2 linked regions of the Astyanax mexicanus genome follow. The protein of the gene in region 1 purifies or fractionates together with the protein of each later gene. This does not show direct contact. Links are inferred from orthologs where the notes say so. Each region holds a gene or a part of one and is shown in the gene's direction. Other genes may lie near its edges.

Region 1 (7,381 bases):
TTTCAAGCTGCTGTTTTAAGCCTTAATGGTGGTGTAATAAAACCTAAAAATCCCTTTTTTCTGTTGCTCTCTCTCTGTATCAGAAACTGTATATTCTCATATCTTCTACTAATAGCTTGTACATCTGGACCAGTGCAGCTGTGTAGGTACCCCACAAAAAACAATAGACTGGAAAAAGATTTCCCCACTCCAGGCAGATTTCTTTCAGCTGTTTTAGCAGTTTTGTACAAATGTTCTCTAAATTGGAGTGCTTGCCATGTCCTACTGAAGCAAAGCAGCCCTACACCAAACCAATTACCCTAATTTTCCTACTTACCTACTATTGTCTTAAGTCTTCTTTAAACCTTTATCTTTAGGGAACCAAATGTGGTTATTTTATTTAACAAATTCTTTTTAACACTGAATATAGACTCCTCTGCATGACAATAAATTAAATAATATGAGGTCATAAATGTACATAAGTGTATTACACAAACATGAACTGAATTTGTCCCCTTGTACCTGAAATAAAAGGATTGATTGGTTTGGAGACAATGCTGCCCTCTCTTTTCTTGAACTTCTCTACTTTCTCCCTCTCCTCTGAGCAGGACTCCAGCTGTCCCTCACTCTTCAGAGCCTGTTTCTGCTTCTCGTAGGCCTTGGGGAGTTGAAGCATATAAAAGAGAGGGAGAGATAAATACTAATATTGTAAGGATTGTAGTATAATATACAGAACGTAAAGAGTTGAGCTGCAGTCAAAGCCTTCACAAACCTTCATCTTCTTAGCAATATCCAATTTCTGATGGAGAATGTACTCCAGTATTGCCTCTCTTTCATAGAGGAATCCATCTTCACTGTAAAGCAACAGACACATGAGAATAAAGATCTAGATCTCCTAGAGAATTATCTTGTTTTGTCTTTTTGATGTTTATTTGTATGTTACAAAAGGACCTTGGTTTAACAACCCCAGAAATATCAGGACAGTGATTATGAATTCAATTGTGTATTATAATAGAAAACTACATAGGAAAAGCTAAGATTTAAAAAACACTGTCTAATTAATAATTTTAGGTTATTTTAGAGTAAAGGTTTCTAAATTGTTTTAAATTATTAAAACATAAATTCTAAATTTATTAAATTATTATTTATTTTTATTGATATTAAATAAAGACTAATAATTCATTGAAATTATGGAACCTTTTAAAAATCAAGATAAAGACAGAAAGGATAAAACATAAATATATAGATATATAATAAAATATATACGAGACATATAGAGTACCTGACTAAATTTGGACACACCTTCTTATTCAGATTTTTCCTACATTGTAAATGAATGCTGAAGTTATCCAGACTAAGAAGGATAACATAAGGAATCATGTAGTAAACATAAGTGTTAAAAAAACCAAAATAGTGAAGCATTTAGGTGGCTTTTATCTGTGGTGCAGTTAACTTGCTGTTAACTTGCTTTAAGGTGTGTCCAAACGTTTATTTGGATACTGTACATGAAGATAGAGATATAAAATATGTGGAGGTTGCAACATAATATACATATATACATAAAATTGTTAGCATGCAAGTAAAATGCTGTGCAATTAAATAACGATGAAAAAAAATCCAATTTATTATTTTTATTATGATCACTTTTCATATTAAGGCATTATTACTAATCGTAATTCTACAGGTGCAGATTCACTAGTGTTTATTGGACAGTACATCAAATGCCAGTTTTCGTGTTGAGGTCAATGCAACCCCTGTTTCCACTGCTGTAAATTAATTTTAAAAAATAGCTGTACAACATATTTCACTCTTAATGATCCAGACATATTAACTACTGAATAATACAGACATCATGCTCAGTTAAATCCCATATATTGTTTTAGCTGTATCTAAGTTTAAGTTTATAACTTGTGAAAGTCCACCTACGTTACAACCGGGTCTCTGCAGGGCTGTAATGAGAGGCAGCAACAGTCGAAATCTTTAATCGCGTCTTTCCCCAGGCGCACACTCTGAGTTCCATATCCAGAAGCAGCTGTAGGGAATAGACAGAGGCCATCAGAAGACAAAACAGGAAGACAGTTCTGGCTCCCACATCATGTTTTAATTGCGGTGAAAATTATAAAAAAAGAACAGGAAGTAGGAAATAGGTAGTAGGGAGTAGCAAGTAGTGAACAGGGAGTATGGAACAGGGAGTATGAAGTAGAGAGTAGGAAATAGGGAGTAGGAAGTAGAGAACAGAGAGAAAGAAGTAGGGAACAAGGAGTAGGAACTAAGGAACTGAGAGTAGGAGGTAGAGAACAAGTAACAGGGAATAGGGAGTATGGAACAGGGAGTAGGGAGAAGAGAACAGGGAGTATTGAACAGGGAGTAAGAAGTAGAGAGTAGGAAGTACAAAGTAGGGAACAGAGAGTAGGAAGAAGGAAACAGGGAGTAGGGAGTAGAAAGTAGGGAACAGGGAGGAAGGTCTTCTTAAAGCTCACTTTTTTCACATTATTAGCAAGTGTTTTCTTAACTGGGATTTGTTTACATTATAGGATAATGGAGTCCACTGTTAAAAAAGCAGACATGTGAACAATTCTGTGGTTTAAATCACATCATGAATCATAGACTCTTTTTAGGACTTTAAAATTTGGGAGCTTAAAATTTGAAAAAAAGTCTTAATAGTTAATATAAATTGGTGAATTGGGTCGAGCTGTTACACCTTCTGGACTCGTTCTGTGTTTCTGCAGCTGTATTTGTGCAAAGCTGCAAACAGAGAAAAAAAAACATTTACACATTTTAAAGGAGCCAGAAACAGACCTGTATCTTTCCTCTTCTCGTGGTAGGTGTACACAGCTCCCGCAGTGCAGTTCTTCCCGTGTCGGGTCATGTTTGGTTTTCAGGGGCTTTAATGAAGCAGAATTATAAGATTACACTTAGCTAGCTACCATCAACACAACCAACACTATTAAAACAGTTTAACTAACTAGTTAAGCTAGCGTTAGCAAGACATAAAAAACCAAGCAGTACAAACACTCCAGCTAGTTTAGCTAGCTAACATAGCTTAGCTTGCTAACAGAGCTGCTCCTGTACAACCAGGTTAGCGACAATACAGCTAACTGAAACAGTGCGCTCTTCAACTGTAGCTCGAGGTAGCGGGATAGTAGACGTCAATTTATCAGTATTTAGACTGTTTTTACATCAGAGGTATAAAAATAAAGTACTTATAAAATATCAACCGTGCAGTTTGTTTACCTCGAGCCAAGCTGGCCGGAATAGGAAGTGACCCACCGGCTTGAAAGCTTTTTCAAAATACAAGTGTGACAGGCTTCATAATTGGACAGGAAATCTCCACATCATAAAATATTAATTACATGTGTTATATATAAAAGATTGAAATGTATGTAGTGGAAAACCGCTAATATATTATGCGATAGTTTATAAATATCGATTTAATGCAGATATACTCAGAGATATAACTTACTTTTACAGAAGACAATACCCACTTGAGAATATGTTCTGGGTTTGTCAGTCACTAGAGGGCACTCCAGAATGATTCCAAATGAATGAGCTCATAGCAATTGAGCAAATCATAGATTGTAAATGGTTTATATTTTTATATTGAAAAATCTCAATTTCTCAACACGGAACCATATTAAATGTTTCACATAATTTTAAAGCTCCAGTACGCGGTTACTTCAGCGTCAGCTCACAGACAAGTCATCACACAGTAGCAGTATTGCTAGTGTCTCTGTTTACCAAAAACATTTGTTGTAGAAAAATGTTTTGCTTAATTTTAGCAAAATACTGTAATATACTTTACAAACAGTAAGAATATACTGGTAGTAAGTAGTAGACACTATTATAAGCCATTTAGCTTCATTCACCACCATTTATTAACACATGCGCTCCATTTACCGTATTTTTTATATAACTGGGGAAATTGAAAATGTGCAGAAAATAGTCACAACTGAAAAATGCTTCTGATAAAACGTAGGGAGTAAGGACTAGTGGAAAAGGGAGTAGCGAGAGGAAACAGGGAGTAGGGAACAGTTTGTGGGGAGTAGGCATAGTAGACAGTGAGGAACAGAAGTAGGCATTAAGGAGTAGAGAATAGGAAGTAGGGAATAGGGAGTATGAAATAGGCATTAGGGAGTAAAGAGTAGGGAACAGGGAGTAGCCAACAAGTAGATAGGAACAGAGACTAGGCAGTAGGGAGGCACTATTGGAATTGGAAACAAGCAGTAGGGAGTAGTCAACAAGAAGAAACAGGAGGTAGAGAGTAGGGAACAGGGAGTAGTCAGTAGGGAACAGGCAGCAGGAAAAAGGACTAGAGAGTAGGCAGTATGTAGTAGGGAGTAGGGAACAGGGAGTAGGGGTAATGCCGATTTGAGCGCACCGACATGTTTTCCGTCACTTCCTCTTTCGTGTCGTTACTAAAACTCCGCCCTATTCTAACTTGTGTCTCGTGAGATTTATTTTTATTGGTTTAATTTGGAAACTCTGAGGAGCTCAGGTAGGACAGCAGGCAGCTCGCAGGTAAATACCTCGTCGTTTTCTTCAGTGGCAGTAAATTATGAGCTAAACTAGCCCGCCGGCTCCCTGTTCAGCGGCTGAGCGGCCGGCAGTTTAGCCATGTGTTGCCATGTGTTTACAGTGAGGGAGGGAACTGCAGCCGCTCAGCACTTTTAAGTTACCTGTAGCAGAACGGTTACATAAAGTCCCTGTGAGAAAACAGTGTAAACAGCGAGGTCTGCACAGTTAATTTGGTGGCGTCTTACTGCTGTCAGGAAATATTTTAAATAAAAGGCACAAATAAGGGACTTACAATAGCAAAGCCAAAAAAATAATAATAATGAAAAAAATGGAATGGTGGTGATTTTGTGCTTATTGATATTGGGTATTTTAAGTAGTTAAAACTAGTGTGTATTTAGTGTATTTTGCCAGTTTGAATATGCAGTTTGTGGGTTATGAAGTTTGACATTAATCACAATGAAAATTAACAGGTTCTGATCCAGTATGTAATTATCTTGAATTTGTAGTTTTTAAGTGTATAGATAATCCATACTGTTAATCCAGTATGAATCTACAGTTTGACAGTAATAACTTTAAAGTAATTTTAATATAGCATGAATATGTATATGTGTCTTATGTTTAGCCAATATAAATATATAATGTGTTTTCCAGCATGACTGTAGTAACTTGAGAATATATATACACTGACAGCAGTAATAGTGACCTGATTGTAATCCTGTGTGAATATTGTCGCTGTCCGCTAAAAAACAAGTTCCTCCAAAACTGTGACTTTACAGCAAAAGGCAAAAATTTTCATAATTTCCATGGAATTCAATGCAAAATAAGAGTTCATTCCACATTAATAGATCATTTCTATTGGTCCATTCATCAATAATTATTTACACAGTGTAGAGAGCATCCACAGGATTCAAGTCATTCACAAAACATAAAACAGACAGAAATGGAGGTTTTCATTGGACAGCAGTGATGAGCTGTATGTGTACTGTTTTATTTACTAATCAGTAACCATTATGGAATATTATGGAATATTAGTATGAATCTGCAGTACTTTACACAGCATGTAACACCATATTAACAATAGTTGTCGTACTGACTATGTAATGCAAAGCACTAAACAATTCACAGCAATGATTAAATGTCAAATTTTGCATGTAATTATAGTGTGAAAATGGCCACACCAGGCTCTGGTGATTCTGGACCACCCCGTACCCCTCAGCCTGGAGGTGGTGGCAGAGGTTCAGTGCTTGGCCGCAGGCTGCCTGCTGCTCTCTCTCCCGGTCGTCTCCCCACCATGCGCTCAAGAGACCTCACACTGGGAGGTGTAAAAAAGGTACACCAGATTGCATTGTTTTCACTGGTAAAAAAAAAAAAAAACAGTGTCAGTGTATTAAGCAACTGTGCTCTCTCTCTTGTTCTGCCCCACAGAAAACATTCACACCTAACATCATTGGTCGTAAAAGTAAAGAAGAGTAAGTTTTTACATGAGTGTATTGCAATCAAATGTCTTTTCCAGTGTAATATAATGACCCTTAGCTGGCCTTACTTTACAGTAGCTGTGCTGTTTTGTTGCAGATTGAAAGCTGATGAGGGACCCAGGAGAGAAAGGAAAGATGCGGATCGAGGGCGGCAGCGAGACGGGCGTGGCAGAGGTCGGGGTCGCCCAGAGGTCATTCAGTCCCACTCTATCTTTGAGCAGGGCCCTGCGGAAATGATGGCCAAGAGGAGAGGTATGATAAAATACAGGTCAGGGGGAAATGCAATGACAAGAACCACAAAAAATTTAGTATTACTCTACCATCTATTTCCACATGCTTCTATCACTTCTGATGCCAACAGTGTATCTCTCAGCTTATTAACAAATGCATATGTACAGCCTGTTCATGAGTGGGAGCACAAAACTCAGTTTGTATTTACTGCAATGAAATAGAAGTGAATTACACTTCACAACTGTAGGGGAAACCCAGGAGAATAATACTGCTTTAAACTAGTATTAATAAACAGGCTGGGCCAAATTAAATACTCATTTTTATGCTAACTATACAAGGTCAGCCATTTAACCATTTGACCATTAAAAATAAAGAAAAATAAAGAAGCACGAATGTGTACTTTATGTAGTACCAGTAGTTCTCAGCAGTAAAAGAGAATCATGCATTTTTCTTGCTTTCTGACTTTTTGTTTCTTTGTTAGGTGTATATGATGATGCAAGAGAAACGCCCAACACTGGCCCCTCCCCCATCATCAACATTAAGAAGGAGAAGAGGGAGACTGAGGAGGAGACCAAAGAGATTCTGCGCAAACTGGAAAGAGACAACGTAAGTGTGCTTATGGGGCATGAATTCCAAAAAGGGAAATAATTAAATATCTAGCAATGGCAGTCCAGACTGAAATGTGATTAAAAGGATAATGTTTTTAAAAGTTATTTGTCTTCATAATTTCTAAAGGCCAGAAACGTTTTATAAAATAATAATATTGTAACAAAAATAAAACAAAATATAGCCAAAAGCGGCAGTCTAAGTTTAAGCACAAACTGGCACAATGATGCCTACTAGAGTAAAGGTTGGTGATGTTTCAGAAGGTCTAATACAATTTGGGACACACTGTCACATTTTGGAGATGGTCAAAAGGCTTTCATCTGTTATCATTGTTTATCAGAGTCCTTAAAACATAATCAGTGCTTAATTTTATATATACAAATCTGTTGAGGTTTGTAGAATATTCATTCATATTCGTTAGAATGTGCCAAAGGTTTTCCACATGTTGTCATTGTTTATCAGGAGTGTTCAATTGGAAAGTTCACACATTTTTTGTTTTTCCAGATGACCTTTTGACCTTTTCAAAATACGCTAAAGTTTTGAAAAAACTAGTCAAACTGACATGAATACATGTA
Region 2 (7,972 bases), on another chromosome or scaffold:
ACTCTCAATAGTAAAGAAAGTCTCTAATTTTAATGCTTTAAGGGCTTTCATTGAAAGGGCAGGGTATCTAAAGCATTTTAAAGCATAGCTGTTTACTCTTGATAAGTGGTGCAGCGAGCATCTTCCTGATCATTTTCTTTACCAGTTAAGATGGGGATTTTTAATGCCAGGCTTTTTAGAACCTGGGCCTATTGTAATGACTGAGTCAAACCTAAAGTACCTAAGGTTAAGTTAGCTGGCTAATCTGCAATTGGAGTTTCTTCTGGAGCTCGATCAGATCAGATGTTCAAATATTAATAAGGTCTAAACATCTGATGCTGATGACTCTCCATTCCTGCATCACTGCTGTCATCACTCCACGAGTCTGAGATTATCGATAGAAAACACTGTTTCTGTTTTTTTTTTGTGTGTGTTTGTTAGGAGTGTAAAACACAGGGCATCTCGTATGATAGTATCAGGATATGATGCCCATTATACCGATTACACCACAATACTTCGATTCTGTCAAAGACATACTTTACGGCATCTGTGTTACTGAAGAGAATAAAATACTCCTAAATAAACAAATACCAGGAATTATAGATGTATTAGTTTTTTCACACAATTTAACAACCAATATTCTTCACCATAGGTTTACCCTATTCATTTGATTATAGGGCCACCTCGTGTTTCAGTAAAAATATTCGTAACTGATGCCATGTATCGAAAATGTAAGATATATCACCATATCTATGTTTGTCCCACCTCTTGTTTGATGATCTGCTCTCTGTGACTTCTGACTGTAGTGGTTCATCTTCATGTCCTAAACGCACAACGGTGGTTTGTAGGCTGTTGTAACACACAGCCCCTGCCACACACTCCTAAGCGCTTTTGTAATTAAAGCTAATTTAAAGTCATTTCAGTCTCCATTAACTGTCTGGTAGGGAGTGGATTTAGTTACAATGGTGGTGAATTGAACCTGGTGTCACAATGACAACACACATAACCACTTTATTTACCATCTAAACCCAAAGCACTCCAAAACAACCCTGAATGACTTTTAACCATTTTATTTTTTATTTTCTTTACTATTAGTGATCGGATTTGTTGTGTTTTTTTTTTTTGTATTTTTGTGACTAATGGGTGAAAAAGCACTTGCTGACTTTTAAACAGGATTTTGACTGTCTGGAAATGAGTAATATAATGGCAATATTTATGTGAATGTTAAGAGGTGTGCAGGAGTGGTGGAGTAGTGTGCTGCTGGACGACGCTTGTGGAGGTGGAGGTGTGTGTCGGAGTTGGTGGAGTGTGTAGGTGTTTTAGGTCTGATTTGGGTTTTAAAGCCCAGCGCCTCTCAGAGTTGGGTAAAGGTAGTTGTAAATAAGGTTTAGGGTGTCTAGTTTGGGAGGAGGGGGTTCTGTACAATTTGCACCTTTGATTCCCTATCACTAATAAACCTTTGATTACTGAGATGAATAATCAATGAAATGAAAATGCTTAAACAAATGATTCAAAGATAAAGGTCAGATTGTTCTTTTAAAAAGCTGCTGATTGCTTGGCCTGCAGTCTGCTGTTCGGTCCTGACTCCAGTCTTTCCTCCATATTGCTCATTAATCTCTACTGAAGCTTCCACTAGAATAGAGATGAATAAAGCAGGGATCCTTTTATTAATTATTCAGTCTTCTGTGATTAGTGGCTGCCTGACGGCTTAACGTCTAGTAAACGAGGCTGATATATAACAGGTTTTCTCTGTTGGGGATGGAGCGTATTAGAGTAATTAAATATTGCTTTTGTATTTAAGTACTGTTCTTTACTCTAGTATTAAAATTAAACTCTTGCACTTTTACTTTTTAGCACTTATTTGGTTGTGTAGAAAGTTCAGAAACTGAACGCTGTATTCAGGCAAATCTACAGGCAAATCTGAGTCGTTTCCCAACTCAGATCTGTTAAGATAAGTATCCACACTGGTATTTAAAAGCGCTTCTGCGCGGTTATTGCTGTGGTATGGAGATTGGCATTAGTAACTAACCTTCAGCACTCTTCTCGGATTCCTGCAATCAGACTGAGACACGTTTGTATGAATCCAATCAGATTGAAACCACCTGATTTGGGTCCACTTTGCAAAAATCTGATTTATTTAGGTTTCTGGCTGTTCCGTGGATCAGCTGGTGCTCTGTTATGTGATTAAAAACTCTGGCCTATCCGTCAGTGATGTAACCTTTATTTCCTGCTGAAGTAAAGCTGTACACGAACAGTGAACACACCTGTTATTTATGTATCTGACATCTGATCTCTAATCTACAACCAAATATTTGTCGGAATCGGACTCCATCTCTCTGTTCTGATTTTAATGTTTATTAATTTGTGTTTTGTAGATGGATGTGATTTGAATGCTATCAGAATCTGAACTTTCCTAAATAAATGAAAATAAAATAAATCAGCTAATGAGAATGTGCTTGTTTTGGCTGGATTTGTATTAAAATGCGTACACAGACACACACACCATTGTGAAACTGTAAGTGTGTTAAATCACACCAGTAATGCATGATCAGGTATTGTACATTAATCTAACTGTTTGAATGCATGTAAACACACTCTGTATTAAACATTAAATTGTTTTAGATTTGCTGTTCTCTGAGTTACAGATACACTTTTACACTACATGGAAAAAAAGTAATGGGACACTTGCTACTTTACTGTTTCTTCTGAAATGAATGGAATTTAAAAAAAAAAAAGTGTATCCTGCTTTTGTTTGAGTTAGTGTCTCTACTGTCCAACAAAGACTTTCTACTAGATTTTAGATTTTGGAGCATTGTTTTGAGGATGTGATTGCATGAAGTGACAATAGCTTTAGCCTTTATCTAATAGCTTTAGCCTTCTATTTATTAAATAGAAGGGTTGTCCACAAATGTCTGGAAATAAAGAGTAACTAAAGCTCAAAGTCACGTATTGTCAATAGATATGTAATAGAAAAATCCTGTGGTTCTTTAGGCTTAAGTGGGGGAAGGGAGTTATGATGCATGACAGATGTACAGAGGGCATGAGCATATTACGTAATCATACACTCACTCTGTAATGCCTGTGTGAAGTTCTGGCTTTATGGGTTGTTTATCACATGTAACCATGTAGGTGTTCAAAGAGATCCCAGTCAAAAGTCACTTACTAATCAATACAGAGACACTACTTAAAATGATTACTATTGATGAAAATTAATATTAGATTGTTGACTGCTAGACATGGCTCTGACATACTCAAAAACATTGTGCCCAGTTGGCAGACTGTAAAAAATGCATCGTTGGAATGAGGGAATTAGGGGGGTTTTGATGAATTGCCTGCCATATAGGTCAACTGCCACCCACCATCCTCTTCGTTTTCAGTGGTGTCATGAAGAAGAACCCTGGACTGCTACAGACTGGAAACATATCGTCTTCAGGTTGGGATCTGATGATAGTCAGGTTTGAGTATGAAGGTCTTGTGGTATGACAGGTCTTTGCGTATGACAGTTGGTCACTGCTAGAAGTGATCTGAGGGACACTAACAGCTCAGAGATACATGCACGACACCCTGTAGACAGGTGTGATAGCATGGCTAATAGCAGGGCTTCCAACTGGCATTCAGTTCAGTATTAATGGGAGCGGCTGGGACGCAGCTTCAGCAACCAACAAGTGTAGAGCAGGATCTACTGCAACAACTGCAACGTATGTGGGTAAATATGCTGCAGGATGCCACACAAAACATGTACACCACCATGTCCAATCGCATCTCATCTTGTATTCAGGCTAGAGGCTCCTTTAAATTACAGCATTTTTTCTCAATAAATGTATTAATCCTTTTATATTAGAATCACTCTAATATTACTATGGGTGTAATTTATGTTTTGAATATTTATGTTTATTCTTTTTTTTTTAGCTTTCTGCCCCAAAGTTATAAATGCTGGCATATTTAAATTCAGTCATGTTTCACTGATTCTTGAGATATGGGACAAAATGTGGCTTACGTTGAAAAGACTTCTTGGTGTTAAAAATAAAGAAATTAGGGGGTCACGTGACACAAATGGCAGACTAGCAGTTTGGCCAACATGATCCAATAGCCCCTCTGAATATTACAAATAGTTACCACTGCGAACTTGATAACAAGAGGCTAAAAGTAGTATAATAGTATGTTGCAATGCCAGGTGGACAAATGAGGCTTAAACTTGTGTCTAAAAACAGTAATAGAAGCACAGTGGTTACTTTTCCACTAAAGGTTTCAGCTCAGCTATTGATATGGTATAACAACAACAACAATGATAATATTAATAATAATAACAATAACAATAATAATAATAATAATAAGTTTTAGGTGTAGTAATGTTTTTTTTTAATGGAAGACATACAGTATGTGATCAGTGGTGATTTATAAACAGAGTGTATAATAATAATACACTATATTTTTTCTGTTCATATTTTTTACCCTTTCATGACCTGAAAGTGATGGAAAAATATGCAAGAATTCTGTCAGTAATGCACAGAAAAAGAAGAGTCTAATATTCTACTATAAAGTCTATTTAGCAAATAAATCAAATTAATTAAAATATTTATTTATTGTTTATTTATTATATATTTTATTTCCATTGCATTGGAAACCTGTGTGTAATATTTTATATTTCATAATGACCTTTTTTATTTCATAAATCATCCATGAACAGTAAAAAACATGATAAAAAATGTTCTAAATCAAATTAATTAAATTAGTTAAAATTAGCTGTTACTTTGCTGTTACTCAATGGCTCTAGTACTACTGTTTTTCCAGTGCAGTGGACCTAGTTGCTGTTTCATTGGTTTATTAACTTGTTGATTGGATGGTTCATGGTCTATTCTGATGAGCAACAGCTCTCAAATAACGTTATGTGCAACAAAACATTTAAAAATAAAGAAAATCCTGGTGTTCATTGTAATGGATGCAGGTCTGAAAGGGTTAATATCTACGCTGAATACGTCACATGTTTTGCCGTAAACCGTCCAGCCTTGTCGTAAAGCCGGAGCACACGTGAGAGGACAGCGGGAGTTTAGTGTAAAATGAACCGGATTCGGATTAAATCTGTATCAGAACTGAGGCTGTAGAGCAGTGAGGAGTTCACTCAGAGGAGGAAGGTGAGCTTTGTCTGTTTAGCGAGGCTGGAGCTTCGTGCTGCCTCAGGTCCAGCCTGACTTCCTCACTGCAGCTCGATTTAAGGTGGAGCGGATTATTCCAGGCTCAAATTCAGCCTCGTGTCGACCTGTTTATTTACCTGTTTCAGCTCTAGAACTTCAGGCTCACCCTTAAGAAGTGTATTAACCATAGTAAATAAAGTTATGACACGTTTAACAATATTTAAATAAAAATAAAGAAATAATAAAGAAAAACTCAATCTAGCGCTTCTCCGGCATCTTCCAGCATATCTGACCTGTTTAAATCAGCTGTGTTATTAATCAGCTGTATTATTAATCTGCTGTGTTATTAAACAGCTGTATTATTAATCTGCTGTGTTATTAAACAGCTGTGCTAAAGAGTTATGTTTTTATCAGCTGTGTTATTAATCAGCTGTTATTAATCAGTTGTTTTAATAATCAGTTCTGTAATTAATCTGATCTGTTATTAATTAGCTGTGTTATTAATCAGCTGTATCGTTAATCAGCTCTGTTATTAATTAGCTGAGTTATTGATCAGTTCTGTTTTTATTCACTTGTGTTATTGATCAGTTTTGTTATTAATTATTTCTGTGTTATTAATCAGTTGCATTATTAATCAGGTGTGTTATTATTCATTTCAGGATGTTCGTGGTGGTGGAGATGGTGGACACGGTGCGGATTCCTCCCTGGAACTTCCATCGACAGCTCAACGATGCCATTGCTGAAGAACTCAATAAGAAACTGGCCAACAAGGCAAGACCTCCATCACTATTACAGCTTTGTTCACAACAGGGCATTATGGTCACCTGAATGTTTCTAAACTCATTATCCAGTTTCAGCTCCACTTAGCATAAAGGACACGGTGTAGTTCTTTAAATACAGACTGTAGTCCTGTATCTGTTTCATACTTCATCATGCTCCGTTCCTTACTGGTAAGAGTGTTTAAACATGTTAGTATCACTGCTGGACTTAGGAAAGTCCATCAACAGAACTGTCCTGTGGTTAGTGTCCTGTGAACATTGTGAACCAGTGTTCTGTTTTTAGGTGTCCTGTGGTAAGTGTTCTATGGGCGGCATCATGTGAGCATCGTCTTGTGGAACAGTGTCCTGTGGTTAGTGCCCTGTGAGCATCGTCTTTTGTAACGGTGTTACAGTGAAACATTTAGAATAATTAATGAATTAGGTGTTGAGGTTATTCAAGAAAAAAAAAACTGATTAGATGCAGCACTATTGTAAATAATCATCCAGGAAAGTTTGAGCGGTAGATTTAGCATATATGTAAGGCTCACGTGGTGATTTCTAAGTAAGTTTGGATCTTGATTAAATGAAATGCCGACTGTAATCTAGAATCTAAATGTACATTACCACCTTAGTTTACTGTCTGCACAGTGCTCTGGGCTGCCAGGACTGGAGTCTGACACACACTGGATGAAGCTCGTAGAATAAACTCAAGGGAGAAATGCTGACCTAAAGCAGCTAGACTCTGTTTTAATGATTAAGATTTGATGTTTCAATAACTGTCCGTTTGATGTAGTAATCATGTCTCCTTATTTTAGGTCGTGTATAACGTTGGCTTGTGTATCTGCTTGTATGACATCACCAAACTAGAGGATTCCTACATTTTCCCCGGGGATGGAGCCTCCCACACTAAAGGTATTTTTGGGGGATTTGGAGACCTCTCTGGTCAGAATGTGTAATTACACAAAGCATGGGGAAGAGCACTTTCAGGTTAATGCAGGTTAATAAAACATTGGGCAGACAGCTGTTAGACGGCAGTAGCTGTTTAGAGTTTTTTAGAAAGCCTGTGTTGTTTTATTCAGACTCTCTTTCTGTTTGAAACTGATTCTGCCGTAGATCTTAAATATTTCTGTAATATCAGTGTCTTTGCTTTGTTTATTTGGAACAGTGCATTTTAGATATGTGGTGTTTCACCCGTTCCTGGATGAGATTCTGGTGGGGAAGATCAAATACTGCAGTCAGGAAGGAGTGCACGGTAAAATTACACACCACTACACTTTTACTATCTCTCTCACTCCCTCTCTCTCTCTCTCTCTCTCTCTCTCTCTCTCTCAATAAGGCCTGTATCTGTTTCTTAATCTCTCTGTCATGCTGTTACACCTCTGACACTCAGAAATGTATTCCATATAGTCTCAGCTTTTAGTTTATTAAGTGAGAAAAATGGTGAATTGGTTCCTGTAAGGTTGTCACTCTCAAAAAATGCTAAAAGAACAAGTCAGCTTATCAGTGTACACAGTTTTTATGTTTAAACAAATTCACATCCTTTGTAGAGACACTTTACCCGTTAAAGCCTGAATCATCAAATAACAACAGAAATGTAGAGTTATTTACTGCTTCTGACTTTAAATAATATACTTTACATATTTTACTTGTATTTTATGTAATAGTTGATACATTAGAAATTTATTGCTCACAGCGTTTTACAGAACTTGCAGAACTTTTACAAACATACATAGAACACAGAATCGTTTAACCCTTATACAGTGTCCTATATACAGATTATATAGGATAAAGTATGCTTACTTATTCTATTATATATTTAAGATTTTTCCATTATGTTTTTTTTATTTAGAAATATTATTTAGTTATATTATTAGTTGATATTTAAAATAATTATCATGTGTGCATGTGTGTGTTTCACAGTCAGTCTTGGATTCTTCGATGACATCCTAATCCCACCAGAATCACTACAACAACCTGCTAAATTGTATCCTGCCTGGATAATGTTGATGGTCATGTTGATTATGATTATGATTATTATGATGATGATCATGATGATGATGAAAATTACTGTGTATTGTCAAGAATTTGGGCGAAATATATTAT

Evidence for each region.
Region 2: the proteins of polr3d (region 1) and polr3h purify together in Homo sapiens (affinity purification with mass spectrometry; 6 studies listed by BioGRID and IntAct, counting the BioPlex papers as one, with this or other methods). This does not show direct contact. The link is inferred for Astyanax mexicanus from reciprocal best matches to the Homo sapiens genes POLR3D and POLR3H.

The regions. Positions count from the first base shown.
Region 1 is NC_064426.1:19,991,232-19,998,612, forward strand, and holds the start of polr3d (DNA-directed RNA polymerase III subunit RPC4), read left to right. Parts: upstream 1-4,368; 5' UTR 4,369-4,497; intron 4,498-5,655; 5' UTR 5,656-5,662; coding exon 5,663-5,824; intron 5,825-5,919; coding exon 5,920-5,963; intron 5,964-6,066; coding exon 6,067-6,221; intron 6,222-6,681; coding exon 6,682-6,806; intron 6,807-7,381. Other genes in the region: nitric oxide synthase-interacting protein, read right to left, coding at 502-637, 752-833, 1,906-2,011, 2,779-2,848. UniProt on the Homo sapiens protein: DNA-dependent RNA polymerase catalyzes the transcription of DNA into RNA using the four ribonucleoside triphosphates as substrates.
Region 2 is NC_064410.1:18,950,110-18,958,081, forward strand, and holds the start of polr3h (DNA-directed RNA polymerase III subunit RPC8), read left to right. Parts: upstream 1-4,953; 5' UTR 4,954-5,111; intron 5,112-5,770; 5' UTR 5,771-5,771; coding exon 5,772-5,882; intron 5,883-6,684; coding exon 6,685-6,781; intron 6,782-7,034; coding exon 7,035-7,121; intron 7,122-7,789; coding exon 7,790-7,853; intron 7,854-7,972.